Coturnix japonica: one gene and its partners. The protein of the gene in region 1 interacts with the protein of each later gene in a pairwise test. Links are inferred from orthologs where the notes say so. Each region holds a gene or a part of one and is shown in the gene's direction. Other genes may lie near its edges.

Evidence for each region.
Region 2: the proteins of SPRED1 (region 1) and NCALD interact in binary tests that used the Homo sapiens proteins (3 or more experiments, as listed by UniProt). The link is inferred for Coturnix japonica from reciprocal best matches to the Homo sapiens genes SPRED1 and NCALD.
Region 3: the proteins of SPRED1 (region 1) and PPP1CA interact in binary tests that used the Homo sapiens proteins (3 or more experiments, as listed by UniProt). The link is inferred for Coturnix japonica from reciprocal best matches to the Homo sapiens genes SPRED1 and PPP1CA.
Region 4: the proteins of SPRED1 (region 1) and HPCAL4 interact in binary tests that used the Homo sapiens proteins (3 or more experiments, as listed by UniProt). The link is inferred for Coturnix japonica from reciprocal best matches to the Homo sapiens genes SPRED1 and HPCAL4.
Region 5: the proteins of SPRED1 (region 1) and CDKN1A interact in binary tests that used the Homo sapiens proteins (3 or more experiments, as listed by UniProt). The link is inferred for Coturnix japonica from reciprocal best matches to the Homo sapiens genes SPRED1 and CDKN1A.
Region 6: the proteins of SPRED1 (region 1) and IL16 interact in binary tests that used the Homo sapiens proteins (3 or more experiments, as listed by UniProt). The link is inferred for Coturnix japonica from reciprocal best matches to the Homo sapiens genes SPRED1 and IL16.

The regions. Positions count from the first base shown.
Region 1 is NC_029520.1:25,908,926-25,913,011, forward strand, and holds the end of SPRED1 (sprouty-related, EVH1 domain-containing protein 1), read left to right. Parts: intron 1-882; coding exon 883-1,542; 3' UTR 1,543-3,219; downstream 3,220-4,086. UniProt on the Homo sapiens protein: Tyrosine kinase substrate that inhibits growth-factor-mediated activation of MAP kinase. Negatively regulates hematopoiesis of bone marrow.
Region 2 is NC_029517.1:116,695,475-116,700,230, reverse strand, and holds part of NCALD (neurocalcin-delta), read left to right. Parts: intron 1-2,816; 5' UTR 2,817-2,835; coding exon 2,836-3,213; intron 3,214-4,756. UniProt on the Homo sapiens protein: May be involved in the calcium-dependent regulation of rhodopsin phosphorylation. Binds three calcium ions.
Region 3 is NC_029520.1:169,607-174,906, reverse strand, and holds PPP1CA (serine/threonine-protein phosphatase PP1-alpha catalytic subunit), read left to right. Parts: upstream 1-2,063; 5' UTR 2,064-2,213; coding exon 2,214-2,373; intron 2,374-2,766; coding exon 2,767-2,898; intron 2,899-2,978; coding exon 2,979-3,209; intron 3,210-3,603; coding exon 3,604-3,708; intron 3,709-3,781; coding exon 3,782-4,005; intron 4,006-4,176; coding exon 4,177-4,311; intron 4,312-4,393; coding exon 4,394-4,504; 3' UTR 4,505-4,692; downstream 4,693-5,300. Other genes in the region: CARNS1 (carnosine synthase 1), read right to left, coding at 1-22, 125-214, 368-599, 882-884; cell cycle checkpoint control protein RAD9A, read right to left, coding at 4,768-4,866, 4,948-5,155, 5,269-5,300. UniProt on the Homo sapiens protein: Protein phosphatase that associates with over 200 regulatory proteins to form highly specific holoenzymes which dephosphorylate hundreds of biological targets.
Region 4 is NC_029538.1:4,839,811-4,845,157, reverse strand, and holds HPCAL4 (hippocalcin-like protein 4), read left to right. Parts: upstream 1-2,047; 5' UTR 2,048-2,320; coding exon of another isoform or gene 2,321-2,338; coding exon 2,339-2,393; intron 2,394-2,943; coding exon 2,944-3,113; intron 3,114-3,231; coding exon 3,232-3,447; intron 3,448-3,645; coding exon 3,646-3,843; 3' UTR 3,844-4,466; downstream 4,467-5,347. Other genes in the region: protein FAM49A-like, read right to left, coding at 2,321-2,368. UniProt on the Homo sapiens protein: May be involved in the calcium-dependent regulation of rhodopsin phosphorylation.
Region 5 is NC_029541.1:1,947,256-1,952,626, forward strand, and holds CDKN1A (cyclin-dependent kinase inhibitor 1), read left to right. Parts: upstream 1-2,218; 5' UTR 2,219-2,340; intron 2,341-2,722; 5' UTR 2,723-2,727; coding exon 2,728-3,109; intron 3,110-3,432; coding exon 3,433-3,482; 3' UTR 3,483-4,391; downstream 4,392-5,371. UniProt on the Homo sapiens protein: Plays an important role in controlling cell cycle progression and DNA damage-induced G2 arrest. Involved in p53/TP53 mediated inhibition of cellular proliferation in response to DNA damage.
Region 6 is NC_029525.1:10,822,766-10,827,521, reverse strand, and holds part of IL16 (pro-interleukin-16), read left to right. Parts: coding exon 1-466; intron 467-1,463; coding exon 1,464-1,647; intron 1,648-2,116; coding exon 2,117-2,218; intron 2,219-2,608; coding exon 2,609-2,861; intron 2,862-3,790; coding exon 3,791-3,916; intron 3,917-4,173; coding exon 4,174-4,367; 3' UTR 4,368-4,756. UniProt on the Homo sapiens protein: Interleukin-16 stimulates a migratory response in CD4+ lymphocytes, monocytes, and eosinophils. Primes CD4+ T-cells for IL-2 and IL-15 responsiveness. Also induces T-lymphocyte expression of interleukin 2 receptor. Ligand for CD4.

The DNA.
Region 1 (4,086 bases):
TGCTATATTACACTTGTATCAGTTCTGCAGCATTTCAGTTCCAGCATTTCAAATCTGCCACCTTCAACATTTTTTTCACTGCAGTACAGAGTAAACAGGAAGTCTGATCTTTTTTCTGGGCTTTTGTGCTTCATGTTTAGCATGTTCTTTGTTATTTGCCCATTAAGATAAACATTCTTGAATTATGACCAGTTCCATTAATTTTAAAAGTTCTCATGCACTTGTCTACTGGAGTACTAAACTGTCCAATTTCAGTAATGTACAGTCTGTTAGCTAAGAGTGAGATGCATTTAGAAGCTGCTGTTATTGAACACAAGACATTTGTCCGATAGTACTATTGAACTTCAACAAACAGTATTCTTTCACGCGGCAAAATCTGGAACACAGCTTTGTATAATCAATATTTAATACATCATAGCAGAACTGGGGAAAATTTTAAAACTCAGAGCAAGAGTGAAGGCTGTGGATAACGTATCTTAGATAACATGAGAGAGTCAGCATGAGTTCATCAGGGAGTTAATCCTAGAGGTTGTCACTAATACATGAGACTGGCAAAGTGACATCATTGATCTGTATTAATTGCTAATGTGAGATGTTAAATCCAAATTTTGAGGCTATTCTGAAGCACAGTGTGAAGTTTTATGTGGATACCAACATGTCCAGAGCTCTTGTTAGGCATAAAATATTAGGAGGGCATATGAAACCTTGTGGTGCTAGTATCAAGAGGAAGTCCATAAGTGGTATACTGGTAAGAGAGCTGGAAAGCCTATTTACATGCAACAAGGAAAAAAAAAAAATCCCCCACTCTTAATTATTTGCATTATATGTGAACATAAATTTGAGACTTAACTGTAGTAAACTAATCTCACTTTGTCATTTCAGGTCCCATTGAAGCCGATCAGACACGTTAGCTTTCAGGATGAAGACGAAATCGTTAGAATAAACCCTCGTGATATTTTGATACGTCGTTATGCAGACTACAGGCATCCTGACATGTGGAAGAACGACCTGGAGAGGGATGACGCAGACTCAAATATACCATTTTCTAAATCAGACAGTAAAAAATCTGACTATTTATATCCGTGTGGGGATGGGACTAAGTTGAATTCCCTGAAAGACTCAAAGAGTTCTGTGGTATTTAAAACTCAGCCTTCCTCATCAAAATTTAAAAACTCAAAAAGAAGAAAAGAGGATGGTGAGCGTTCCCGCTGTATATACTGCCAGGAAAGGTTTAATCATGAAGATAACGGCAGAGGAAAATGTCAAGATGCTCCGGATCCTATTAAAAGATGTATCTACCAAGTTAGTTGCATGCTTTGCGCAGAGAGCATGCTGTATCACTGCATGTCAGACTCGGAAGGAGACTTCTCTGATCCTTGCTCGTGTGACACTAGCGATGACAAGTTCTGCTTACGCTGGTTAGCACTGGTAGCGCTGTCGTTCATTGCTCCGTGTATGTGCTGCTACCTCCCCTTGAGAGCATGCCATCACTGCGGTGAGGCGTGTGGGTGCTGTGGAGGGAAGCATAAAGCTGCAGGATGAATCAGTCTTGTGCCAAACAGAGCTGAAAATCTTTGTTTCCAGGAAGCATCTAACTTGGATTTGTGGAAGCTTTTTGGCAAGCCGAAGGGAATCTTCTTTCACGTAAGAGATGCTCGATGTGGAAGAAGCAACAAGACTTGTCAGACCTTGGCATTTTACAAGTGCTTGCCACGCCTGACTGTTTCCTTTGAGCGCGTGGCGTTCGTTGCGAGTTGTGAAGGAGATTTTGCAAAGGAAAGCCTGTTCTTATTATTGGCTATAAAATGAGTATATAAACTATGATTATACTAAAAGGGATTAACTTTTGCCACTTTGTACATTCATGGTTTAGGTGAGGGGGCTCTTTTAAAAGGATTAAAACTTACCTGAGGGGAAATTTTAACTAAAAGTGCACTAGTGACAGTTGATTTAAGATTAAGAAAAGTTAATACTCGGCAATTGAGAAATGAAACTGATTTTAAGTGCAACTAAATCACTTATTAATAGTTTTTTGGAAGCGACTTTATGTATAAATAACAAATGTTTATATTTAACTAAATGTGTAAGGTACGAATTATTACATGTTAAACTTCCCTTCCCTCTGGTCTAGTAGGTATGGACCATATCTACTGTCACATTCCATTGTAGTACTTTAAATATTTAATTAGTTAATTTAGTTGCATTTTTATTCCAGATGGACAAATTGATATTTTCAGTCCTGTTTCCCTTCAGCTACAGTTTGTGTTGAGTTGTATCCATACATTCTGATAATCTAAAAACTTTTAAAATATTAATTATTCTAGTCTTGAGTGACCAATATTTTTTGTTAAGCACAGATGTAATTGTCTAAAATGTTCTTGTTAGAACATAACATTTATTTTTATATATAAATGACTTTGATTTCAACATAATAGCAAAAAGGAAGTTGTTTCTGTTGCTCAACCAGCAAGTTGTTTTCTTTTGGGGCATCCTCCAGAAAATACTTTATTACGTATACAGACGTTCATTAAGCAAAAGGTACATTAAGGCAGTTGTAACGAGTTGTCATCAGTGTTCTTGTTTATCTTTCTGTTAAACTAGGATCCTGTTCAACTGTTTATCGAGTACTATGATTAAAACAAAAGATTAATAACAAAAGTCAAATCGTTTTCATTATTTTGAACTGCAACTTTTTCTTACTTGAACGTGCAAGAACAAAGCCACTGGCTTTGAACAAAGGAAAGACTGCAGAAGTCTCGAGAAGTAAGCCCAGGCAAAACTGGAGTGAACTTAATGGAGTGAATTAGGAGGGAACCTGGGGAGTGGGATGGGGGAGTGCGTGTATACACACGTGGTGCTGTGCATATTTGGTACAGCTTTGTATTCACTATGTGTTTAATTTTCAGAAAAGAATTAAGCAGTTAACCCTTAGAGAATTTTTTGAAAACATATTTTGCTGTCGTGAAGTAAGAAGCATTTGCTTCTCATTAAAAAATATGTAAAACTATAAAAATAATCATTCGGTAGGGTAAGTGCCAATTTGTTGTTGCAGCTGGAATGGGGCGGACCGTCCTCAGAGTATCCCACATTAAACAAAAGCAATTGAGTTGAAAAGATGCGTGTAACTTTTCTCACCCTATGTATTTTTCAGTGTCGCTTGTGTACTTTGGTGCCCTTAGTTTTCTTTTGTAGCACAGAATTAAAGGAAACAAACATGTACATCATCTGTCCGTGAGTTACTTTTTAAAAGAAAACACTAATATTTACATTATGACTTGAATTGACCACGTTATGTACATAGCTCATCTCAAAGTATTATTTCACATTGAAAAGAAGAAGCATTATTGATAACTGTAGTAGTTACGAAAGAGCTTCCAGTTTCATAATGAGTTGGTCGGATGAATTAAGTCCACAAATCTGATGCTGTAGCAGCAGTCTTTGTTTTTACTGTTAATATATTTGCTGCTGCTCTGGTTGATTGTCATGCTGAGCACGTCTTCAGCTGAACTTGGTTTCCTGGAATAGACTGTTAACCTTAAAAGGATAAAATATAAACTAGTAATGTCTGCCTTGTGAATGGGATGCATTTCATATTTTTCAGTGCTAGGTTCCTAACTCAAGGTGAAGAGGGGAGTGAATGACCCAAGAACAGAACTCGCTGGCTTTATAGGTAAATACTGTAGAATCCTACTCTGTATATACTGCAGAAGGAAATGAACTTAATTCCTTCTGAGCACTAGTACTGTATTTTATATGAAACATATCTGCTTTAATATTTTTACTGAATGTGTGCATTAATATTCTCGTTTTGCATTTAACTGCTTTGCTAAACTGTGTTCATCTTTTTGCCTTCCCCTTTAAAGACTTGTTCCATCTGAAAAAAAAGGTTGGTGACGTTTCACAGTGTTCACTTTCCTTTTTGTGATGGAACTTGCAGCCTGCATGCCCGTTCTGAGATTAGTGAAGAGAAATGCAGAAGTACAGTTACATAAGGGGTGCTTTTGGTAGGATGCACGCATCCTTTTTTCTCTCCTGGTGTTAGGGATCCTATTCACGCTTGCAGTTAGGAGTAACAAATGGTGTTTG
Region 2 (4,756 bases), on another chromosome or scaffold:
AGTGATTATAAGGATCTTTGAGTGTCCTCAAGGATTTTCTGTACTTGGCTGCGAAGGCATTTTGATCTGCTGCTGATGGAATGGGCACAATAAATCCCTTCATTATGGTTCCTAGAACAGCACCTATTAATAATGAACAAGTCAGAGGGCGAGGACCATGATACAAATTCATTGTAAGTGGGCTCAAGAAAAATTCTATGGCTTTTGACTTCATTGCTTGGTATCACAGTGGCTGCAAGTTTCTGCCCCTTGCTGAACCACATAAGGTTGGTTCTCCCTTCGTGCCTGGAGAACACAGAATTTTTCCTGATGGCAATGTTTTGCAGCTAGCAATAAAATGCAGTGCATCCTGTTATCCTGTCTTTTTTTGATTCCTTGGTAAAAAATAGATTAGACCTGCAGCTATCTGCAGCTATAAATGCATCATTTTTTGGTCTGAAACACATTGTTGGTTATCTCATGAACGCCAGAGACCGAATACTATTTTCATAAGACTCCAGACTGGAAGTGCACAGGCTGAGCTTTGCATTCCCAAATGTTTGAGGTATTAAAAAGCAGCAAGGGATTATGCTGCTAATGCCAGCCTGCTCCCACTGCAGCTGGCTTGTGCGTGGTTCAGAGATCTTCCCTCCCTCCTTCAGTGTCTGCAGAGCAGGGGCTGTGGGGCAGCTGCAGGCTGCAGGCATGAGTAGATACTAAGTGCTGTGGGATTTTGCTGCATTGCTTTTATTAAAATGGTGCCATTTTAAACTAAGCCTTGCCGCTTCACTTGCCGAAGTGCTTTTCCATCCTGCTGGAAGACCTCACTCCTGCCATTTTGCTTAGCACAATTGTGTCTAATGTGATCTGTGCACTCAGCTTGCACCCATGTTGTTTACTGGGAATCCCAACCAACACCCACTGAAGGCAACGCAACACTCAGCTGTTGAACTGGGTCTATAGAACAGGGACATTTCTGACATTTTCAGGGTAGTAAGAGCTTGGATGACTGAAGAACTATATGTAGGTTTTCATCAGGAGGAAGTGTAGTAGTCAAAAATTATCTTTGAGGTGGCATCTTCCACTTTCCAAGTGTCTAGGAAATCCTTCGGGAAGAAAAGACATAATTTGGATTGAGCTAGTTGTGCAGACCCTTGAAGCGGGCAGGAGATGCAGGAGCTCCCAGTGGACAGGACTCGTCAGTGTGTCAGCCTCCTGTCCATGAGCAGGGCGCATCCGCTCCATTGGCTCTAGGAGCTCAGACATGCAGCTGGTGGAGCCTGTGGAGGCAGATCTAAGATGGATCCTGCCATCTCATCTCTGAGAAATAAAGCTTTCAGGTTGCTGTGGTTCAAGAATGTAGGAGATGAAGGAGACAGTCCTCCAACTGCCTTGAGGAGTTCAAATTCTCCCTGTGAGAATTCAGCTTCTTTCCACAGGAAACAATAAACATCAGTTAGGGGGAGCCCCTGTTTCTCTTTCCTAGTGTCATATAGGAGAGGCAGGAGCTGAGCTTCAAATTGTAGTGCGTTTCTCAGTAGCTGCTGCTGTCACTTAATGATTCTGTTTTATTCTGTGCTTTTTAAAAGTATTACCTTGATCCGGAAAGGACATTTTACTGAACATTCATTTGCCACTCCAGGCATCGTTCATAAATCCATCTCGGCATCTCAGAGACTCTGCTCTGACAACAGCGTGGGAGTCTTGTATAAATTATTTTGCAGTTCTACTTAACTTGTCCACACATCAGATTTCAGCTGTGACTGTCGTTCCCCTGATGAATTCTCAGGCAGGTTTCTGTCGACAAAGCGTCCCTCCCCACATTTCAGGTGTAACACTAAACTTCCAGGACAAATGATGGCACTGTCCTTTGGAGCCAACACACCCAGGCTCTGAACCTTAAAATCCAAACAACTCCAATCGTTAGTAAATCTGCTGCACAGTGTGATGTGTAGCAACTTGCCTTAAATAAAATATAATTAAAGCGATTTAACTGAAATGGTGGAGGTAAAGGAATTTTTCTTAACTGGTAATTTCAGTGAAATGAATTTCCAGTGTTGTTGTCTGGATACTTTATCCTTTTTTTCTCCCTTTCTTAAAAAGGTTTTGTTTTCAAAGGGTCGTGACCACCCAGACTACTGCTACTTACTAAGAACTCCAATTTCTGGCTACAAGGAGAATTTTAAACAAGCATACCAACAAAAATAAACCCAACAAAAAAACCCCACCAACAACAACCCCCCCCATATTTTGGGGATGGGGAATCCACCGTTCATAAAATCTGCCCAGATTTTTTCTGCATTCGAAATAAAATGGGATTTGATCCATGACAAACAAGAGAGGCAAAGTATGGGTTGCTCTAATTGACTCATGAAGATGTATCCAGAAGTTCTTTGGAGCTCCTGGTTTCTGTGCCCACGGTAGATGCATTCTGATACCATTAATTAAGTTAAATAAAAGTCACTTTTTGGGGTAAGGTCCCTGAGCTGGTTGAGTTGGCTAAAGGACGTGCTGTGGCACACAGCTACCAGTCAGCCTGCACCTCATATCATCCATTGCTTACATGGGGGTTGAAAAGGGAAAGTAGGATGGCAATAAATTCAGTGCAATGACAGTTCTCTACACTGTGAAAGGGTAAAATAAATAACATGTAGGAGAGGCTTGTTAGTTTTTTCAGAGTGTGCTTCTAGCAGGAGACACTGTCAAAACTTTCAGTTGATTCCCAAGTTGTCAGAAAACTCCAGTACGCTGTTCTTTTGCAGCCTTCAAGCTAATTGTTATTAATAATTATGACTATTATAACTAAAATGAAGGGGTTTTTTTTTTTTCCTCTGTAGGTAACATTTTGACACCAACATGGGAAAGCAGAACAGCAAGCTACGCCCTGAAGTCATGCAAGATTTGCTAGAAAGTACAGACTTTACAGAACACGAGATCCAGGAGTGGTACAAGGGCTTCTTGAGAGACTGCCCAAGTGGACACTTATCCATGGAGGAGTTTAAAAAAATCTACGCCAATTTTTTCCCTTATGGGGACGCTTCTAAGTTTGCGGAACATGTGTTCCGCACTTTTGATGCCAATGGAGATGGAACAATAGATTTCAGAGAATTCATCATAGCCTTGAGCGTGACGTCGAGAGGTAAACTGGAGCAGAAGCTGAAGTGGGCATTCAGCATGTATGATCTCGATGGGAATGGCTACATCAGTAAGTCAGAGATGCTGGAAATCGTACAGGTATGTGCTGCTCAAAGGCACCCCTTCACCTCCCTCATTCCAAACATGTCATGGAGCAATGCCAGAATGAAAGCTGGGTGAAAATTGTGGCGGCACTGGGGATTGATGTTCTGATTCTCTGTATAATACTCGAATGTAAAATGCTATTTCTTTTGGCTAAGGTTTGTCACAATTCATCCTCCAGCATTTGATATCCAGTCTGATTTTCTGAGTGATACACTGCACAGGAAGCTCTCCTCCAGGAGCTGTGCTGTGTTGGAGTGGAGCAGTTAGCCTGCTGATTAGTGTGCTTCTGCCCTCTGGGAAATCACTGCCAACTAATTACAGTTAATTACAGTTGGACCAAGCAGGCATCTTAGATTAGCCAGATAGCCTACTTTTAAGGAAGGGAGGCTCCCTCAATAAGAAATCTGCTTTGAAATCATGTTGTTATGAAAAAACAGCCCATGTATTTTAAAACACATCTGTCTAATTCCAGCATGGTCTGTATACTTAATACCGTACCAGCTATCTTTGTATTAACTTGCCAGTACAGATAAACCTTCATTGGATAGATGAAGTTTCCATACACTACTTCTTTGGATGCATTTTCTTGTGCTGTTAATAGGAGTCCCACCTCATTCTGTGTCTTTCTCTAACATGTTTTTACCCTCGAGGTACGTCACTCTACTCAAAGCTTTAAAACATTTTTGGTGCAGTCGCGTATTTACACAGCTTGAGTCTGTGTAATGCAGCATCGTTCAAAAAAGAATAATAAAAAAAAAGCCTGTTATCAGATCCTTCATTTCATTGGTAATTTTGCAGTGCTTGCTATGTACTGTATTATGCAGATTTGTATTTGTACTGGAAATGAAGGGAAAAGAATACACATACAAATTACAGCCTGTGATGTCAAGCTGTGTGTATGGAATCAGTGTAATGTGTGATGCCCTTGTCTTTCTGTCAGGGGTCTTCTGTGTCCTCCGAACAGTAACAAACACACTCCTTCAGTAAGAGCAGATACTTGGCTCGGTTGCAAATGTAGAGTTGTTGTGTTGTTTTCCACCAATTTTGTTTTGTGCTCCAAATTCTGGACTAAGAAGCAGGGCTGCCCCGAGCAAACAGACACCACACAGTCTCAGTGCAGTGGCATATTTGCATTAGAAGAAACTCCATTCCTTCAAATCTTCCACCCCTATGGGCCAGGATACAGGCTGCCAGTACGTTTTTTCTAGCTATACTTCTCGTCATGAAAAATAACAAGAGAATCCCTAAGGAACAAAGAAAACACAAAGCAAAGACCAAGGGATCCCAGCCCTAGCAAATGACTTCTCCCTGGGAGGAGACATCAAAGGCTGACTCCTGTTTACAGGAGGCACAAGTGCTCAGTAGCAACATACATCCCCAAATCAGGAGGTTTACAGATACAGAGAACAAGGCCACAGGTGTGTTCATATCAAATTTAGAGTCTCGATGGTTGGGATCTCTGTAGTGCTCCAAGCAGGGACCAGCAGAAATAACAGCTTTTCCCAGTGACCACAGACCTGCTCACCAGCATGCTTAG
Region 3 (5,300 bases), about 26 Mb from region 1:
GCCAGGCACAGCACCATGGCACCTGTGGGTGGCACGGGATGAGCAGTGGCTGCGTCCCCACGCCCAGGGGGAGGGAATGGGGAGCTGCTGGGTGCTGGGCAGGGGGAACGGGGCCGTTACTCACCTGGGCAGCGGGTGCCACCCTCCAGCAAGATTGGCAGGAAGGCAGTGGGGGAGCCCAGGATGCACACAGTCATATCCAGCGGGCCAGATCCTACGGCAAGGCAATGGTAGGGTGCCTGGGACACACCGCCACCCCATGCGAGCAGCCCGGTGTCCCCAGCCTGGCTGTGCCACCACCCCAGCCTGGCACTGCACCCCCAGGCCACCACCCCCACCACCCATACCCATACCAGCGCCTCCGTACCGGTGCGTGGCTGGGCGGTGCGGTCTATGGTGAGGGGCCACCCCTCCAGGCGCAGGGTGCGCTGCAGCACCTCGTAGGCGTGGGCGGTGGGGTCGGGGTGCGCTCTGTCCCCGGGTCCCTCGCCGTCGGGCACCTCCTCCTCCTGCCAGCCCGGGCACAATGCCTCGGGGCCGGCCCACTCCTGCTCCTTCATGTCCAGCGCCTGCTCCGCGCTCAGCCGGTCCACAGAGAGCTGTCACAGGGCACGGCGGAGCTGGCACCGCCACGGGCACGGCAACGGGCACGGGGGCCGCGGGTTCAGGGGAGGCATCGGGCAGCCACGGGACGTCGCTGGGGCGGTGGTGTCGGGGTGCCCGGGAGCGGTGCCAGCCCACGGACAAAGCGTCCCCTTGTCCCCGCGGGGTCACGCGGAGGCGGTGGGCACGGCGCTGCCACACGGAACACCCGGCACCACCCAGCCCCGCCGGGAAAGGGGAAGGGGCCCCCCGCCCGCAGACCCCGGGCCGCCACTCACCATGTTGCGGGCGTCGGGAGGCTGCGAGAGACGGGAGAGGGGTCGCGGTGAGCAGGGCGCAGCCCGCACCGTCGGCCCCACTGGTACCGCGCCGTGCCACCGTGCTCCCGGAGGGACACTGAGGCGTGCGGCCACACGGCCCCACCGGGAAGAGCCGTGCCCCGCAGTCACGCGTGGCCGCTGGCAGTGGGGCGGCCCCGTGCCCGGGCTTAGCGGCACAGAGCCCTATTGTCCCCGGCTTCCACCCGCCCGTCCCCGGCGCCGCTCGGTGCCGCCCCGCACGTCCCCCGGCTTAGCGCAACGGCTGCCCGCGATTTCACCGCCGGACACGCGCAGCACGGCGCACGCCAACACCCTCGGACACGCGTGGAGCGGGCGCCGCCTGCACCCACCGGCGGTCGCTGTCGCTTTCGGGCGGTCGTGGCGGCGGTGCCCGCGGAGCCGTGCCCGTTCTGCACCGGCGGCGGAGGCGCCTTCGGTGGCAGAAGGGCGTCCCCGGGGGAGGGCGCGGGGCGGGGCGGGGAAGGGGGGGAGAGAGGGAATGGGGGGTGTGCGGGGTGTGCGGGCACCAGGATTCAGGGGTGCGGGGTATCAGGTGTGGGGTGTGAGGGAACTATGGGGCGTGGAGACAAGGATGCGAGGGCATGAGAACATCTGGGGCGTATGGGGAAATGGAGATGGGGAACGAGGGAGCACGGGGAGAAGGATCTGTGGGGTTACGGGGATCCGGGGACACGGGGATTTGGGAATACGAGGCACGGGGACGTAGCGACGGGTAAATCGGAGGATACGGAGATAAGGGAAGATACGGGAAAAGGGGGATCTGAGAGTGGGGGACGTGGTGACAGAGCAACGTCGGGGTGGGGACGGGTAGATCGGAGGAGCCGGGGCACGGAGACACGGGATGTGAGCACACCGCGACGTGGGGCCGCACGGATCGGGGGACACGGGGAGGCGGGACACGAGCAGCGGGACACGCAGCCGGCAGCGGAGCGGGGACAGTTGCCGGGGTCGTTCGGGGACAGCGGCGCAGCTGACACCGCGGGGCTGAAATGTCACCGGTGTCACCGCGGGCAACGGGCCAGGCTGTGCCGGCACCGCGCGGCTCGTACTGCACGTGGGGGCGGCACGGCGGCACGAGGGGCACAAGTGAGGCGGGTGGAGCCGGTGGCAGCACCGTGTCTCTCGGCACACGTCCCCGCGGGGCTCCCCACGCGCCGCGAGGCTGACAACGGCAACAGCCGCCGGGCAACCGGCCGGCACGGGGAACGACACGGCGCCGCCTCGTGGGAGCGCGCAGCCCCCACGCGCCTCCGCGGCCTCCCATCCGCCATGGGGCGCTCTCGCCACCCGCCGCTCGCCCCGGCCGCTCTCTATGGCCGCGGGGCCGGGACCGGGGCGGGCCAGGGCGGGGGGGGGAAGCAGCGTCCGGCGGCCATGGCGGATACCGAGAAGCTCAACCTCGACTCCATCATCGGCCGCCTCCTGGAGGGTGAGCGATGGGCCTAGTGCTCCCGGACCGCCTCGGGAGCCGCTAGGGGAGGGAAGGACCGGCGCTGTGCCGCCAAGGAGGGGCTGGAGAACGGGGCTGCGGGCCGGGGCCTGCGGGGAAACGGGGGCCGTGCGAGGCTCTGGGGGTCCAACTGTGGGGCTGTGGGGCAGCGGGGGGTATCGGGGCAGCGGGGGGCCGGGGGGAGCCGGGCGGTGGGAGCCGCTGGGGGCTGTGGGAATGAGGGGGGCTGCGGGCGATCGGGGCGGATGGGGGGTGGCTGCAGAGGGCCGGGGGCACCGGGAGGGCCGTGCGTTAGTGCGGGACTGTTAGGGCACGGCGGCTCTGCGGGCTCCGGGGGTGGAGTGGGCTCTGCTGAAAGCCACCCCCGCACAGTGCAAGGCTCACGGCCTGGGAAGAACGTGCAGCTGACAGAGAACGAGATCCGGGGGCTGTGCCTGAAGTCACGGGAGATATTCCTGAGCCAGCCCATCCTGCTGGAGCTCGAGGCTCCGCTCAAGATCTGCGGTGAGCGACGAGCCGGGGGGAGGGGAAGGGGGCGGGCTGGGAGCCAGCGTCACCGCGTGTCCCCCGCGATCTTCTTACAGGCGACATCCATGGACAATACTATGACTTGCTTCGGCTCTTTGAATATGGAGGCTTTCCACCAGAGAGCAACTACCTATTCCTTGGTGACTATGTTGACAGAGGAAAGCAGTCTTTAGAAACAATTTGTCTTCTATTGGCCTACAAAATTAAATACCCGGAGAACTTTTTCCTGCTGCGTGGCAACCACGAATGTGCCAGCATCAACCGCATCTACGGCTTCTATGATGAGTGTGAGTGCTGCACCGGCCCCACTACTGACAAACGGGACTGCCTTGTCACCTCACTGCCAACCCCATATGATACAGCCAGCCCAAAGTCCCCCCTTCCATCCCCATTTGCAGCTCTTCCCATCTCCTGCAGACCTTATGTTCATCCCAGCTACTTTCTCCTGCAGACCTTATGCCCCCATCCCAGCCATCTCCTCCTGCAGACCTTATGCCCCATCCCAGCTACCTCCTCCTGCAGACCTCATACCCCCATCCCAGCCACCTCCACGGCCACCCCCCCAGCCCCCTGGAGGGTTCAGTGCTGCCCTGTGTGTGTTGTGATACACCAGAGGGTGGGGAGGGTGGAACATGGCCCACATGAAGGGCTCCTGTGAGCACCCACCCCGCTGCCTCACAGGCAAGCGGCGATACAACATCAAGCTGTGGAAAACCTTCACCGATTGTTTTAACTGTTTACCAATTGCAGCAATTGTGGATGAGAAGATATTCTGCTGTCACGGAGGTGGGCACAGGGCTGGGGGCTGCCGCCTGGGTCCAAAGGCCGCCACACAGCATAACCTGACACTCCTGTGCAGGGCTGTCTCCTGACTTGCAGTCGATGGAACAGATCCGGCGCATCATGCGACCCACGGACGTACCCGACCAGGGCCTGCTGTGTGATCTCCTGTGGTCTGACCCTGACAAAGATGTCTTAGGATGGGGTGAAAATGACAGAGGAGTGTCCTTCACCTTTGGGGCCGAGGTGGTGGCCAAGTTCCTGCACAAGCATGACCTCGATCTCATCTGCAGGGCACACCAGGTAATGGGGTCGGGCCTCACCTGGGCTCCATAACGGTGGAGCTTTTCCCAGGAGGGGCCATTTGCTCTTGAGGATGTGGTTGGGCTCTTTTGAAGGGGATGCTGCCCCCTGGGGGAGTTGGTGGGCTCTATGGACAGAGAACAGGGAGATATGAGTGCTGCTGCCCCACAGGTGGTGGAGGACGGCTACGAGTTCTTTGCCAAACGCCAGCTTGTCACCCTCTTCTCTGCACCCAACTACTGCGGGGAGTTTGACAACGCAGGAGCCATGATGAGTGTGGACGAGACCCTCATGTGCTCCTTCCAAGTGAGCTGGGGCTTTGCCGGGGAGGGGGCAGCACACAGGGCTCTGCCTGCAGCCCCTTCACTCACCCTTCACTTCCTTGCAGATTCTGAAACCAGCAGACAAGAACAAGGGCAAGTACGGGCAGTTCAGTGGGCTGAACCCTGCTGGCCGCCCCGTCACCCCACCACGCAACTCTGCCAAAGCCAAGAAGTGAGTGTCCACCGCCAGCAGCCCCAGCACCAGGTCGCTCCTTTCTCCATTCGTTTTTTTATTTGTCAGATCCTGCCCTTGCCGCTTTCTACTGTACCAAATGTACCCTCTGGGGCAGGACCCGCCCCTCAGTTGGCAGTGAAGGCAGGGCAGGAGGCTTTTTTTGGGGAATAAACTTGTAATGGGTCTTAAGATGTGGCTTTAGGATCACACCCTACGTGGCCAGGCAGTGCCAGCTGCTGCGCCATGGCATCGCAATGGGGGCTCTCAGCATTCGGCATCGCTGTCCTCTGCCAGCACCTCCTGGCTGGGGGCTGGGCCAGGCCCCCCCGGTGTCAGCACGGAGCCAAAAAACAACGAGCGGAACTTTGGGGGGGTGAAAAGACACAGGGTGAGGGGGCCGTGCCTGTCCTGTTCCCTCCCCCCATTCTGGTTCCTGTCCCACACCTTCTTGTGAGGGGGTGTCCCTGGCACAGCCCTGTCCTCCTCCTCTTCCTCTGGGTTGCTCTCTGCGGGGCGAGGAGTATGCAGGGGGAAGGTGGGGCTGGGGGGTGCTCCTGCCTCCCCCTCGCAGGCGCTGCTTTCCAAAGCCACCATGTAGGACTCGAGGTCATCGGCAAAGTCATCAGAAGGGGCAGGTGGGTGGGAGACGCTGCTAGAGGGGACAGTGAGTAAATGATGGGCAGCATTAGGACCGTTCACCGGTCCCTGCTGCTGGCAGCATGGGGCCCTTCACTCTGATCCTGACTGATGGCAACGGGATGTTACCCATTGGTGGCAGGTGTTGGCTGTGAGTCACC
Region 4 (5,347 bases), on another chromosome or scaffold:
AGACCTCACCTGCTCTGCTCAGTCGTTTGCATCAATTATGGTATCGCATCTTTGTGCCCGCACAGAGCTTGTCCTTGAAGGGCAGAGCGCAGCTCTCAGGGCTGGGTTTTGGGGTGCTGGGCACACAGGGAGGGGCACAGATGGGTCCCTGCGGGGACATGGGTGCGAGGCCTGGCCCTGGTGTGGGGGCCAGTGCTGGGGGAGGGATGGGGATGGCTGCAGCCCCTCTGCCCTGTGCCAGGGAATGGAGACGTGTGGTGGCACTGGGCTGGGCCCCTCTATGTCCCCGCGGTGCCCTGTGGGGTCTGAGGTTCATTGCTCCCTTTGCACCATTTCTACTCCCCCCACACTGTCCCATGATGTGAGGGGGGACACCTGGGGGGCAGCACATCCCACTCGGGGGAGCTCTCAGGAGGAGATTTGATCCCTACCTCCCTGTGCCCGTCACCATGCAGGGACCACGCAGCCCAAATCCCCCACGAAGGACACTCCACGCACTGAGGGCTGCACGCAGCCGTTGCAGCGCTGGGGACGGCAGGGTCCCCCCCCCAGCCACGCCCGTGGTGTCCCCAGGATTATTTCCAATGCACTGCACCATCTCCACGAGCATCCCTCCCAGCGGGGGCACCGTAGCACCAGGGCTGGATCCTGCCCCTGGGCGACCCCCGGCGCTGCCCCCCCCCCCCGCCCCTTTAGGGGCCGAACCCCCCAGCAATGCACCCACCCTCCCCCCCCCTACGGCCCCACTGCGGATGCGGCCGATTTACCGCATGGCTCCGGGGTGCGGAGCCGCAAAGCCCCCCCCGGGCTGCAGCATCCCGGTGGCTGCACCCTCCCGCCCCCCCCTCCAGGGCCCCCCGCCGCCCCCCGCCCCGACCCGGCCCCGTTCTCACCGTGGTGGCGCGGGCGGCGGCAGCGCCCGGTGCGTGCGGTCGCTCCCGCAACGCAGGTGCGGGGGGAAGAGCCGCCCGCCGCTGCGTGCGAGCCCTGCGCCGGCTGCCGACTGCACCACAAAGCCCCCCATGGCCCCCGGCCCCCCCACGCCACCGGGGACGGTGACGTCTCAAGTGCGAGGGAGCCGGGGACGCTTAACCCGCTGCGTGCCGGCCGGCGGCATCCGCGGCCCTGCGGGTCTCTGCGCGCTGCAGGACGAGGGGACGCCTCGCACCGCGGGGGTCGGTGCCGGGGGCCCGGGGCGACGCTTCTCCTCATTCCTGCCCTTATCTCGGGGGGTCCCGGCTGGTGGGAGGGTGGCGGGGGGTGCAGCGAGAGGGACCCGCTCGGCGTCACTGTCACCCGCGGTGCCTCCATCCCCGCAGCCGCCGCGGGTGGAAGGTTCCGAGCAGCGGAAAACGGGGCATTCAGCGGGGTGACACCCCACGGCGGCCCCGCCGGGAGCCGCGGGGAGGGGGCACCGCACAGTCCTTGGCCGTGTCCCCCGCCGTGCCCCCTCCCCGCCTCTTCCCACCCGTGTAGCCTCGGGTGGGGATCCCCCCATCCCTCCCCGCACACGGGCACGGCGTGGCGCAGGGGCCGCGCATCGGGCCCGGAGGGGTCCGAGGGGTCCGAGGGGATCCGGCCGTGGCCCCCCGGAGTGCTGGATCCCCGCAGCCGCGCTGTGTGTGCACAGCTGCAAATATTTGTGCCTCATATAAACCGTTTCTCTGGCCCCGTCGGCGGGGGAAGATTCACGCGGAGATTTCGGGTGGCCCCGCGGCTCCGTCCCACCCCCGGTGGCTGCAGGCGCTGCCCCACGGCCCGGGGGGAGGGAAGGTCAGCGGGGAGAGGCAGAGCCACCGCTATGGAAACGTTCCGCTTCTGGCGCTGGGAACGAGCATCAGCCCCGGGCAGCAGCGGGGCGGGAGCTGCGGGGACTCCGCTCCGGGCTGGGACCCCTCGGACATCGGTGCTGCCGCCCCCGGCCGCCCATTTCCCTTTCCAGCCCCCAGCTCCTCATTTCTCGCCCCCCACCCACCACCGACTGGCAGCGCCCGCAGCCAATAGTCGGGCGGTGCTGGAGGCTGCGGGAGGGGCGGGAGCGGCGCGGGCAGAGCCGGGGGCGGCAGCGCTGCCCGACGGCGGAACCGGCTTCGCTCGTGGCCGCTCCGCACGGACAGGTAACGGGGGGGGGCGGCGGGGCTGGGAGCCGCTGCCCGGGACGGGGCGGGGCGGCCGTCGGGGTCGGGGCCGTCGGGGCCGCGTTGCTGCGGATGGAGCGGATGGAGCCTCCGAGCTGCCCCCCCGCCCACGAGTGCCATCCCTCAGCCCGACCGCCCCGTCCCTCCCCGTGCTCTCTCCGTCTCGGGGATGCAGCTCTGACCGGTGTTGGAGGGGGGAAATGCAGCGGGTCCATGCGATGTCCGGACATTCCCTCGGCTCCATCTCTGACGGCGGTGGGTGGCAGCTGATGGAGGGATGCTGTTCTGTTGCTGGGCAGGATGCGGCCTCTGCCCGCCGCGTGTGCTCGGCGTGGGGCCCGTCATCCCAAAGTGCCCCAGAGTTCCCCAAGCCTGGAAAACTGGGTGCACAACGGGCGATGGGGCTTCGGTCGGGCTCCAGAGAGCGTGTCCTCAACTCTCTCCATGGAGAGCAGCTCGGGAGCCCTCATCAAACCCTCAGCTGCTCGGGCTGAGCAGCGGCAGCCAGGGCTGTGTGGGAGCGGGCACAGTGTGTATCATTGGAGCCGCTGTGGGCACAGTGTGTATCATTGGAGCTGCTGCGTGTGCTGCCCACACAATGCAGTGCTGTGGGTTGGGTGATGCAGGTGAGACTTCTCCTCACTTCGATGCCAGTGGCACAGAACTGCAGTGACATTTGGCAGCGTGTGAGTGCCACCAGCCGGGAGGGTCAGCTCCGTTGTGGGAGGGCTGTGGGGTCGATGGGGCGCTGGGGAGCGCAGCCACCCTGTAGCCGGCATCCAGAGCCCCACACTTCCCATCCCAGGCACAGCCATGGGCAAGCACAGCAGCAAACTGGCCCCGGAGGTGCTGGAAGACCTGGTGAGGAGCACGGAGTTCAGTGAGCAGGAGCTGAAGCAGTGGTACAAGGGCTTCCTCAAGGACTGCCCCACCGGCATCCTCAACCTGGAGGAGTTCCAGCAGCTCTACATCAAGGTGGGCTCTGATCGGGCACAGCCTGTGGGGCAGGAGCTCCCCTCTCCTGCTGTGTCGGGCTGTGCTCCCTCTGGGCTCCCCTCCCCGTTCCGATCTCTCTCCTTTCATCCACCCGCAGTTTTTCCCCTATGGTGACGCCTCCAAGTTTGCCCAGCACGCCTTCCGCACCTTCGACAAGAACAGCGACGGCACCATCGACTTCCGAGAGTTCATCTGTGCCCTGTCTGTCACCTCCAGGGGGACCTTTGAGCAGAAACTCAACTGGGCCTTTGAGATGTACGACCTGGATGGGGACGGGAAGATCACACGCCTGGAGATGCTGGAGATCATTGAGGTACTGCTGCTCCGATAAGTGGGGCACCTTGCATTTTTATGTGGGTTTTTCACAGGTTTGGGGCCCATCTGGCCATGAAAAAATGGGTTTTGGTGTCTGGAACCTTGGCTGAAAGGTGGCTGCGTAGGGCAGCAGCTCTGCCTTGTCTCAGCACCTCCTGGCCACCCAGCTCCCACCCCGCTCCTCTCCCTGCTCCAGGCCATCTACAGGATGGTGGGGACTGTGATCATGATGCGGATGAACCAAGACGGGCTGACGCCCCAGCAACGCGTCGACAAGATCTTCACAAAGATGGACAAGGACAAGGATGACCAGATCTCCTTAGAGGAGTTCAAGGAGGCAGCCAAGAGTGACCCCTCCATCATCCTCCTGCTGCAGGGTGATGTGCAGAAATAGGGCCTGGGGCTCAGGGCTGGACTGGCTGCATCCAACCTCGGCTCCCCATGATGGTTTCCATCCCCATGCCCTGCTGGTGCCCCTTGCCTGCTTGGTCCTGTGCTCTGTTCCTGCTGCCACCCCTCAGCTCTGCTCCTGGGCACTGCCAGCTCCAGGTCCCCTAAAATAGACCTGGCAGCACCCCATGGGGGCTGCTGGGGCTCAGAACTGGTCCTAGGTTTTGTCCTGCCCTCTCCACCCCCCTCACCCAGCTGAAGATTTTCTGCTTCTGCTTTTGATGGTGGGAATAGCCAAGGGTTGGTCAGGGGACTTCAGGAAGCGCCCAAGGCCACCCTTGGATCCCAGAAACCACCCCATCTCCGGTGGGTGACTCCTGGAACTGCCCTTGTGCTACTGAGGGTGCCCAGAGTGTTTCTGGCCCTGCTGACTGCTGCAGTGTCTGCTGTCCCAGCCCCGGCCTCTGCCCCTTCTGCCCCAGGACAGCGATACTGTCACTGAGTGGTATTTATTCAGCACATTGTGGTGACGATGACTGTGATATCTGTTAGGAGGCTGTGGAGTTACCTACTTTTTTTCCTTCTTTTTCTCTTTTTTAATGGAAAAATAAACTGTCCCCCATTGGTTGTGTTCCCCCTGAATGGCTCAGCAGGGGGAGAGCAACGCTCCTGAGCATCATTTTGGGGCTCCCTGGAGCCTGTGACATGCTGGGGAGGGATCGGTCCTTACACAGGAGGTGGTGTAATGTAACCCTGCAGCTGTGCACGAAGCTTTGGGAAGGAATAATGTCGTATTGGGTGTGTGTGGGGTAGGACTGGGCGTTTCACGTGCCCCCCAAGATTGGGTCCCAGCTGCCTCCGGGTTGGGGGCTGCATCCTGGGCCCGCTGCAGCACCGCCAGCCGCTGGGACCTGGGACGTGCTGCTGCTGCTCATCAACCCTCCGCCCTCACGCCCCCCTTCCCTGCACGTTTCGTTCTTCCCATCGGCAGCCTGCACAGACAGTGCCTGTTGCTAAGGAGCTCTCACCAACTTTAAGTGCTTCTCCGGATTTAGCAGCAGTTCTGGCTCAGCTCGCAGGCAGAAATGCGGCTCCCCTTCCACCCCGCAGTACTCCCACATCTCCCAGTCCTGAGAAGGAGGATGGGACGGTGCCAAAGCAGCACGTGCGTTCCCGGGAGCGCTGCTGAGGGGCAGCTCTGTGCCCACCCGGGAGCAACGTGCAGCTCAGCGGGGAGGGGGGGGACGGTGCAGGTCACACGCGCTGTGGGGACAAATGGGAATGTGCCAGCGCTGCCGTGTAAAGAGCAGCGGCTCAGGATGGTGGGAATGAGAAATTCTGGTTCCCCTCGGGCCCTTCCCGGAGGAAGCTGGAGGATTTGCCGCAGAGAACTGCGAAAGCTCCGGGGAAAAGGAGCCCGCGATGGGGCTGGAGTGGCGCTCAGCTCCCAGAAGGGCGTCCCCAAGGGCTTGGGGTGCGAGCAGCTGGCTGAGCCCTGGGCACCCCGG
Region 5 (5,371 bases), on another chromosome or scaffold:
GCTCCTGGTTCCCATCCTGCCTGGTCCCCAGTTGGACCTTCCTACCCTGCATTGTGGGACTGAACATTGTGAGTCACCTTTGGGCTTTTCCTTAGTTCCTGTATCACTTTCCGCATTAATCACACTTTTTTTTCCCCCTTTTTGCTGATGATGCCACTGCAGACTCGACCACGCACTGCCTGACCCAGACCCTGACGCTATTCCTCTCTCCACTTCCCATTTCCTCTGCAAGTTGGTTCCACACCAGCATCTCAACCCCACCCCATCCCCATCCCACCCCCATCTCAACCTCATCCCATCCCAACCCCATCCCATCCCCACCTTAACCCTATCCCAACCCCATCCCCATCTCAACCCCATCCCAACTTTATCCCCATCCCCATCACAACCTTATCCCATCCCCACTTTAACCCAATCCCAACCCCATCCCACCCCCATCTCATCCTCATCCCATCCCAACCCCATCCCTGCCCCCATCTCATCCCCACCTTAACCCCATCCCAACCCCAACCCCATTTCAAACCCATCCCAACTTTATCCCCATCCTCATCTCAACCTCATCCCAACCCCAACCCCATCTCAAACCCATCCCAACTTTATCCCCAACCCCATCTCAACCTCATCCCAACCTCATCCCAACCCCATCCCAACCCCAACCCCATCTCAAACCCATCCCAACCCCATCTCAACCTCATCCCAACCCCATCCCCATCTCAACCCCATCCCATCCCAACCCCATCCCAACTTTATCCCATCCCCATCTCAACCTCATCCCATCCCCACCTTAACCCCATCCCATCCTCAACCCCATCATCATCCCAACTTGATCCTATCCCCATCCCATCTCATCTCCATCCCAAGCCCATACCAACACCCTCCCATCACCATCCCAACTTCATTCCCAACCCCATCTCATCCCCATCTCATCCCAACTTCATCCCCAACACCATTCCATCCCTAACCCCATTCCATCTCATCCCCATCCCAACCCCATCTCATCCCAACCCCACCTCAACCCTATCCCATCCCAACTTTATCCCATCCCCATCTCATTCTAACTTCATTCCCAACCCCATCCCATCCCCATCCCCATTCCACCTCCATCCCAACCCCATCCCATCCCCAACTCCATTCCATCTCCATCCCATCCTATCCCCATGCACACCACAGAGGTTGCCCTTCCACGTGCTGGCTCCCCCTGGGATGCAGCCAAACCGATTGCATTCATCTCACATCGCTTTGCTTCATTCTTGCCTCACTGCAGCATCGCTCCTGCTCTTCCTCCATCAGTCATCATTGCAGATCACACTCCTCCATCAGCTTCAAGAAGCTGCCAGCTCTGACAGCCTCATTCTCACCCCACATCCAGAAGGATCCAACCCCAAAGCGACCACCTTGGCCTGGCCCAGAGCTGCAGGAGGAACTGATGCTGGACAACACTGCTGTGTGACGCACTGCCTGCAGCCGGACATGTCCAAACATATCCTTTATCTGCTGGGAAATGCTGGTTCAGCCTGGGAACGGATGCATTGGGGGGCTTTGCACGGGGGGCTTTGCACACTGCAGGGCTCAGCTGCAGCCCACCAGCTGCAGGCTCACCCAGCTTAGTGCACCGCCTGCCTTTGTGCTGCCATCTCCTTGCACCCCAAGCACTGTTTGCTGCCCAAACCCAATTCCTTCCCCCTATGCCCCCTGCAGCCCACCCAGCTGAGCCCTGGCACTGTGCTGTAACCCTGACGGGGAGCTGCACAGCGCTCAGACCTCCCCTGCTGTGTTTTGGGGGGGGTCATTTTGCAGCGGGGCCACACGTCCCTGCATGCAACCCGCAGCTTTGCTGCATGCAGGACATGCACGGGCTTGTTCCTGCTGCTTGCTGACCTCAGGCCAACCGGAGCTCCCCAGCCCAGCTGCATTGCTGGGGGGTCCGCTGGTAGAGCAGAGCCCACCTCGGGGGCAAAGCACCCAGGGGTGGTCCCATAGGACCCCCACCCCAACCCCCGTCACTCCCCATCATTGCAGCATCCCGTGGTGACCCAGGAGGGGCCCTTTTTACTCTTCAATTGGCAAAGCCGTATTGAAGACCCTCCCGCATCCTTCGCGTTGTATGGGGGGGGGGGGGGTCCCGCATCGCACAGTAGGCGACGACCCGCTTTCCATATGGGGGTCCGTGCAGCCCTATGGGGGGGGGCACTGAACCCCCCCCCCGATAACAGCTGCTCTGCGGTGGGGCGGGGGGGGGAAATCCCGAGCGACGCCGTGAGGCCCCTCCCACCCTCCCTGCCCCGATATAAAGGGCGGAGTGCGGGGCTGGGAACCGCAGAGAGCGACGGGGAGTGTGGGGTGAGTGCGGTGCTGGTGTCGGTACTGGGGGGGGGAAAAGAAGGGAAGGGAGAGAAACCCCAATGGGGGGTGATTGGGGACGGGGTCGGGGGGGCTTTGACAGCTCCGCTCCTCCTGTGGGCCGGACCGGGTCGGACCGGGACATGCTGGGACTTGTCTTGCTCTGAGCTCACCCCGCTGATAGGAAGCGGCTATTTTTAAGTGACCCATCCCGGGGGGGGGCAGAGCGGTCCCTCATCTATTAACGCAGTTCTGTCCGGGTTCAATGACCCCCTGTGCCAGCCTGCCCTATAGCCGAGATCATTAACACCCCAGGGGTCCTGGGGGCTCCCATTATATGCACTGGACTCATATCCCCCCCTCTATATCCCCCTCCCCACAGCCGCAATGCCGCTGGCGCAGAGCAGGACCGGCCCGATGCCGTGCAGCAGCAAAGCGTGCAGGAACCTCTTCGGCCCCGTGGACCACGAACAGATCCGGAACGACTTCGAGGAGCTGCTGAGGCAACAGCTGGAAGAAGCTCAGAGACGTTGGAACTTCAACTTCGAGACGGAGACGCCCCTGGATGGGCACTTCAAGTGGGAGAGGGTCCTGATGGCCGAGCAGCCCCCCCGGGTAGAGCCCGGCAGCAACGGGAGCTCAGCACCACGCAGGGTCCCCAGTAAGGATGGTGTCGGTGGGGCTCGTTGTGGGGCAGCCCAGCAGAGCTCGGAGCAAACCAGGGTCGGTTCTGCACAGCACTTGAAGCGGGGGCAGACCACTGTTAAAGGTGAGTGGTGGAGGGGGGATGCCCCTCATGCCATGGGACCACCCTTAGCACAGAACCATCTTTGGAGGGGAGAGGCAGCAGAACCAGCCTCGGGTGTCCCATAGGTAAAAAATACCCCCATATGGATCACCAACCTCAGTTCCCATGGCCCAAAAGTGGCTCAGCAGTGGGGATGTGATGGGACCAAGTGATGCACAGCCCCATAAATGCGGGGCTTTGAAGCTATGAGCCCACCTGGCTGGGGCTGGGGTTGGGGTTGGGGTTGGGTTGCTGCCCCCTCCTTCTGCTCCTGATACATCCCAACTTCTCTTCTTGCCCTGCAGACTTCTACAGCTCCAAGAGAAGAGTCGTCCATGACAAGCCCAGGCTGTGACTGCTGCTGGGGATGGATGCTGATGCTGCCGTGCCCTGGAGGCTGTCGTGGCTCTTTCCCTGCCCTGCACTGTCTGTACAAAGCGATACCGAGTCTATAGTTCCCTATTTATGAGTAGCTCTGGGGTCCTGAGTGGCCCATGCTGTGTGCAATGTATAGGAGGAGCCCACGGGAAGGACTAAGGACTGGAATGGAGCAGGTGGGGCTGAGGGTGTCTCCTGCCCCGTGCTGGTGTTGCCCAGCAGCATCCTGCTGTCTCATGGAGCAGCCCCATGGCCCTCCCTGCTGTGGATCACTGGGTGTGAGCCCTGCATGGAGCTGCTCCCAGTGTGACTCAGTGATGTGTTGGTCACACAGTGGTGACAAATGTACTTGGAGGTGTGTACCCTTGAGGCCGGCACAGCTCGGGAGGCACTGGGCTGCTCCAGGCTGTGCTGCCCCATTGGGTTCTTGGCGTGGTGTTGGCTGGCTGTGCATCGTGCAATGCTGACATTAAGCTGGATGTTGAGCTGCTGCTTGGCACTGCCAGCAGGGGCTGCCCCTGCAAGAAGTGCCAGCTTTTCTCCTGGACTATTTCCTACTCCAGAGCCTGACCTGGCTCCTGCTGTTGTCTCTGTGACCCAGGGATGCCCTATAGGACACAGCCCTGCTCTGGGTGCTGTCGGATCTCAGCACTTTCACTGGTTTCCCCCTCTCTGTATTGGGATTGGGATTGGCACGGGGTGTTCCCATGTAGAGGAGGAGGGTGCTGCTCCCAGCTCATACCGTGATGCACTTTGCTGTCAGAGATGCTGGCAAGTGCCCAGCATTCAATGTTTATTTATGAAAACACTGTTTTAAGGCTTCTTGGAAGGGGAAAGAACCTGTTTGTCTGCGAGTGTAACTGAATAAACACTTGTCTGGTGGAAAGAGAAGGGGTGGCTGTTAATGGGAATGGCTGTTAATGGGAATGACTGCTGTGGGGTGTGCTATGGGGGGTGGGGGGATGTTATGTGTGGGTTGGGGGTTGCTTTAAGGGTGCAGCCACAGAGGTGCAGTTTGATGCTGGTGGGGAAGGAGCTGTGATGTATCTGTGGGGGGGTTTGGGATGTCCAGCTGTGGGATGGATCCAGCAGGACAGGGATGGGGGCTCCTGCTGTGGGTTGGGGTCTATGGGTGGGTTGGGATCCATTGCTGAGCCCTTTGTGGTGCTGCAAACAGGAAACGTGTGCACGTACCGGCAGTTGAGTGCAACCCCAAAGCGGAAGGCTGCCTTGAGTAAGAGAGAGAATGACGGTGTGGGGCCGGGAGGTGCACAGCAGCGATGCAGGCTGTGTGAGGCTGATGACCCCCCAGCCCTGGGGAGCCCCACAGTGTAACCAGGCAGCACCACCCCAAAACTGAGAGCACGTGGAGAAGGTAAGGTTTGCTCAAGGGGGGGTTTGGTGTTAGGGATGCAGGGCTGATGCCTGGCCCTATAACCATCAGTGGTGACCCTCAGGCTGCCCCTCAGCAGGAAGCATCTCAGACAGCAGCCAGTGTTGAAGTGCCTTTGGTGTTTATTTTACAGCTTTTTCCGTGTTTGGTGCCTCTGTTTCATGGCACGCAATGGGCTCCGCTCGCTCTGTGGGGCAGGGGGAGGCACCGAGGGGACTTCTTGCATCATAACCTCTCCCATAACCCCCCTAAATGCTGCTGCTTTGGCTCTTAGAGGGGCTGGGACCATAGAATGGGGGTAACCCGCATCCTGACCCCCCCCTCCCCTTCCTTGGGGCTCTGCTGACCTCATAGGATGTCCCCTCCCCCCACTGATGCTGTGGGGTGGTGCTGCATGGGAGTCGAAGGGGATGGGGACCATTTTGGGGCCCATTCCTTATTTCCAGTTCACTTTAGGGCTTGGCATTGCCAGA
Region 6 (4,756 bases), on another chromosome or scaffold:
AAAATAGCCAACAACAGTCAAAGTCATCTGCGGTTACGGGTACAAAGAGCCTAGATAGATTTTCCTGTCCCAAGGACATCCTTGCAGCCAACTTGGAGAAAAGCAATGATGCCAACACCAAAAATCCTCCAGGCCTTCTCACTGCAGAAGCCATTGCAACTTCCCATGTAGCACCAGTAGCAAAAGTACACAACCTGAGGTCACGAAGCTTTCCACTTACCGCCACCCAGTCTTGTGAGATGATGAAGACATTTGATGAAAAATATAGCAAAATCTATTCCATCAGTAACCAGGTGTCATCTGCTTTAATGAAGTCTTTGCTTTGCCTTCCTCAGTCTCCAATCCCTTCTGGAAACAGTGCATGGGAAGCTCTGGACACATTGTCTCAGACCTCTGCAGAAGAGGATGGGTCTTCTCTCCCACCTGCAAGTGAGAACCATCACCCAGACACCGGATTTTCTCTAAAGTAAGATACTGTATTTGAAATCAGATTTGCAGATCAGTATTGGTGAGTTTCTGTGCTGATTAGCTGATAATATTCTCAGGCAGGAGCACACAACAGTAAAAAACAAATAGAGATTGGCAGGATGACCCACACAGCTTGTAAATTTGTTTTTTTAATAAGCACAGACATATTTCAAGCTTCCACCTTGTTCATGAGCATTTCTAGTGACTCAGTGGTAGAAACAGAAAGTGAAACAGACATCATTACTGCATGTACCAGTGAGGAAACAGAGGAATTTTAGTATGTTCCTTCCAGAAGATGTGAAAACCTTATGGCTTCCCAAAATTAAACTAGCTGTAGCTAGTCACTGTGATGAGACGGTGCAAACATCCTGATGCTCCTCACATTTGCCCTTGGTTTTGCTGCATATCACTGAAATAATATTACATCAGGTCTAAAAAGAAGCAGGTCTGGCTCAAATACATGAAGGTGATGTAGCCAGAGCAGGGCACAGGTATCCCCCAGGACAAAAGGCACCAACAATACTAAGCTTGCCTCCCTTAATGTTTTGTATGCATTTTCAGTTAGTCAAAGATTGGGGGAAACAACAAAAATCAATAGAGGTACTCTTAGCAAAATACTTCAAAAGCACATACAAGCCTTCTTTCAAAAATCTACTGTACAGATTACAAGAAATAATAACAAAAATCTACTGTTTGCATTCTCAGAGAAGATCATTACAATCACATGAAAATGAGAAACTGAAGAACAAAAGCAGCAACAAAAACCACAGAATGTTTATTTAGATCCGTGTTAGCCTAGAGCCAAGAGATGATTATTCTATATGACTGATCCTACTTCTGCTAGGCTAATACAATATACGAATGTATTCGTAACACTTATGAGAGGAACTCATGGGGGAATCTAAAGATGACTGCTCCAGAAGTGTCTGCTCTGTGCTTTTGTATGTCCTTTCATAACTCAGTGTTTCTTTTTCATTCCTTTCACAATGGGACAGCCTCTCTGAGCTGAGAGAATACACTGTGAGCTTAGCAGATAGCGAGAAAGAAGAAGAGAAACAGGAACAAGGCTCACCTCAAGCATCCGGTGTGTCAGGGCAGTCTGTCATCTCTCTTCTTTCCCCTGAAGAGTTAGCAAAGCTCATAGAGGAAGTCAAATCACTAGATGAAGCAACCTTAAAGGTAAATGAGCCTTTATTCGGTGTGATTTTCGATTTGATTTTTAGTACATGGATTGGACATGCCTGGTTCGGCTTTGCAACTTCATGTTATCACAGATAAAACTTGGAAGAAATGTTTAAGCTGTGGAACTAATATCCATGAGCTGCAAGCCAGATTATTTTTTCCTCTTTTTCTGCACTTATATCATTAAGCATTTTCTTACTCTATCATACTCTTAAATTTGATTAAAATTATAGTCAGATCTAATTGACTCATGTTTACATAAATGTTACAGTTTTGGACATAACATTTCATAATAGAGGTAATTGATAAGGAAATGTGATCAAAACAAAACATTTAAGATGTCTCAGCATTATGCTTAAATCCTCATTACTAAGTGCTCAGTGGGCAAATAGAAAATGCATGGATTTTCCAGTCAACTCAATGTATGTATTAGGATGTTCTTGACACAATTTATTTTTCTGCCTAGGAATTAGATGATATTCACGTTACAATTCTGCATAAAGAAGAAAACACTGGGCTTGGATTCAGCCTGGCAGGGGGTGTAGATCTAGAAAACAAAGTGATAACAGTAAGTAGCATCTTTCTCAAAAAATACTCTGAAACAACTACTCTCTCTAAAAATACATATAACTTGCTGGTTTTCTACTACCAAGGTTGGCTTTTGGCATAATTAAAGTAGGCAGCTGTTCACACAGGGTCAGAAAAATCTTGGTTGTGAGAATGCACAGAGGTTTCTTCTCCACGTAATTATTAGCAGGAGCACCCCATTTCCTTGGGTACCACCCTCCCACACAACAGTTCTTAAAGCCAACAACAGGAAGCAACCACCTTGCAAAGAATGGAAAATACACAAGTGAAAACTAATAACTGAGTAATTTCTTTCCTTTTTTTTTTTTTTTTTTTTTTTTTTTTTCCCTCTTTTCTTGCATGCCTGTGTGGTAATGGGGCTTTTCAATAGGTTCACAAGGTGTTTCCCAATGGACTAGCATCTCAGGAAGGAACTATTCAGAAAGGTGATGAAGTACTTTCCATTAATGGAAAGTCTTTTAAAGGGGCGACTCACAACGATGCCTCAGTGATCATGCGACAAGCTCGACAACCCAGACAAGCAGTTGTTGTCACTAGAAAAGCAAAAGATGAAGACAAAAGTCACAACGTTTCAATTGGCTCTAGCACATCTTCAGTTGCAAGTGATGCCTCACAAGAATCAGGTAAGTTCAGCAGTATTACCTCGCAGCCACTACCTGCTCAGTGTTTAATCAGCGTTTGACAGGATGAGAGGTAATGGCTTTAAGTCAAGGAAGGTTCAGGTTGGATATTAGGAACCATTTCTTCTCACAAAGAGTGGTGAGGTATTGAAACAGGCTGCCCAGGCAGGTGGTGGAATAACGATCTCAGGAGGTTTTCAAGAATAGGGCAGACACTGTGCTGAGCAACATGGTCTGGAGCGGTCACAGACACGGGCTGATGGTTGGACTTGATGATCTTACTGGTCTTTCTAACCTTGATGATTCTGTGATTCTAATATCATCACCTGAAATCATGGGTACTCATGGAGCTGCTCAGCACTGGCTGGGTAAATCTGAGAATCGCGATCAGGGACAACACGGTTTGTGAGACATTCCTGAATAAGAGAATTTATTAAAAGAGATATTTAATATTAATTTATTAAAAGAGATATTTAAGATAACTTGGGAAAGAATTAATGGATTTCTAAAGTAAATGAACACTGAAAAAAATCAGACCAAACCAGAAAACCAACCAACAACCAACTGTGAGATCCTCCATATTAATTTCTGAACACATGTAAATGCTGTTATTCTAGTAACAGGCCTAACTGCAGTTAAAGTAAATAGTCATTGATTCTGAATTCTAATATGATGGTTTCTAATTTGAAGTTTTCACTTCATAAGACTATTTTCCTTTGTGAAAGAGTTACTGGTTTAAACAACATGCTGGTGATTGATGTAGCAGGTGGCGACATCCACAACTACATGGGCAGATTAAGTTGCAGCTTTCTGGTGAATAAGAATTTCAAAACTAATGTCAAATCAAATTAAAGCTCATTTATTTTTTTAACAGATCTTATAGTTTTCCAGGTATTTTTGTGCCCACCTGCTAATTTTCAATTTATTTCCAGCAACCGAAGACACAAACTACACTATAACTCTAGAAAAAACAGCTGCTGGTTTGGGATTCAGTCTGGAAGGTGGAAAGGGCTCCATTCATGGAGATAAACCCATCATCATCAACAGGATATTTAAAGGTAAACACACTTCAGCGTGTAGCTGGCAGGTTCTTTGTTGATAGAGTAGCATAGTTCATAACTGACTGCTGATTTATACTTGTTAAAAAGGGATATTTTGTAAATGCAGCATTATCCCATCCAATACAAGTAGTTTTTGCCTCCTGGAACAGGCGATTTATACCAAACATGATGATGAACCCTAATGAGTGAAAGATTAATTAAAAACTCCCCCATACAGAGAGAATTCTTACTATTTTTTCTTCCTCCCCCTGCAGGGACCTCATTGGAGCAAAGCAGCCCAGTTCAGCCCGGTGATGAGCTATTACAAGTGCATACTACAGCCTTGCAAGGACTCACTCGTTTTGAAGCATGGAATATAATCAAGGCATTGCCTGATGGGCCCATCACAGCTATCATCAAAAGAAAGAATCCAAGCACTGTTACCAAGAAGGCATCTGAAACTTTGTAAGAGGAGTAATTAGACTACTGCCAATATTACAAGCAAAAAGAGATGTTGTGGTTTATCACTTACAGACATCTGGCTACTACGGCGAGATACTCAAACTGTATATGAAAGATACATACAATTCTACTGCCTGTTAGAGAAAGCTGTTTGGGATGAAAGGAGATGTGAACAAAACGTACATGATTACTATTTCAGAAAATTGTTTCAGTGTCAAATGATAACAAAAAATGACTTTATAAATAATATACTGGTTGTACTAAGATGTGAAAGCGCTGCAGTACTCTTATTTTAAGCCATTCTACAGACTGAGAGCACGTTCTGCAACAAAGTGTTCAATTCTGCTTTACTAGTTTTGCATCTCATGGTATTTTTCAAGGGTGAGGCAGGAAGCT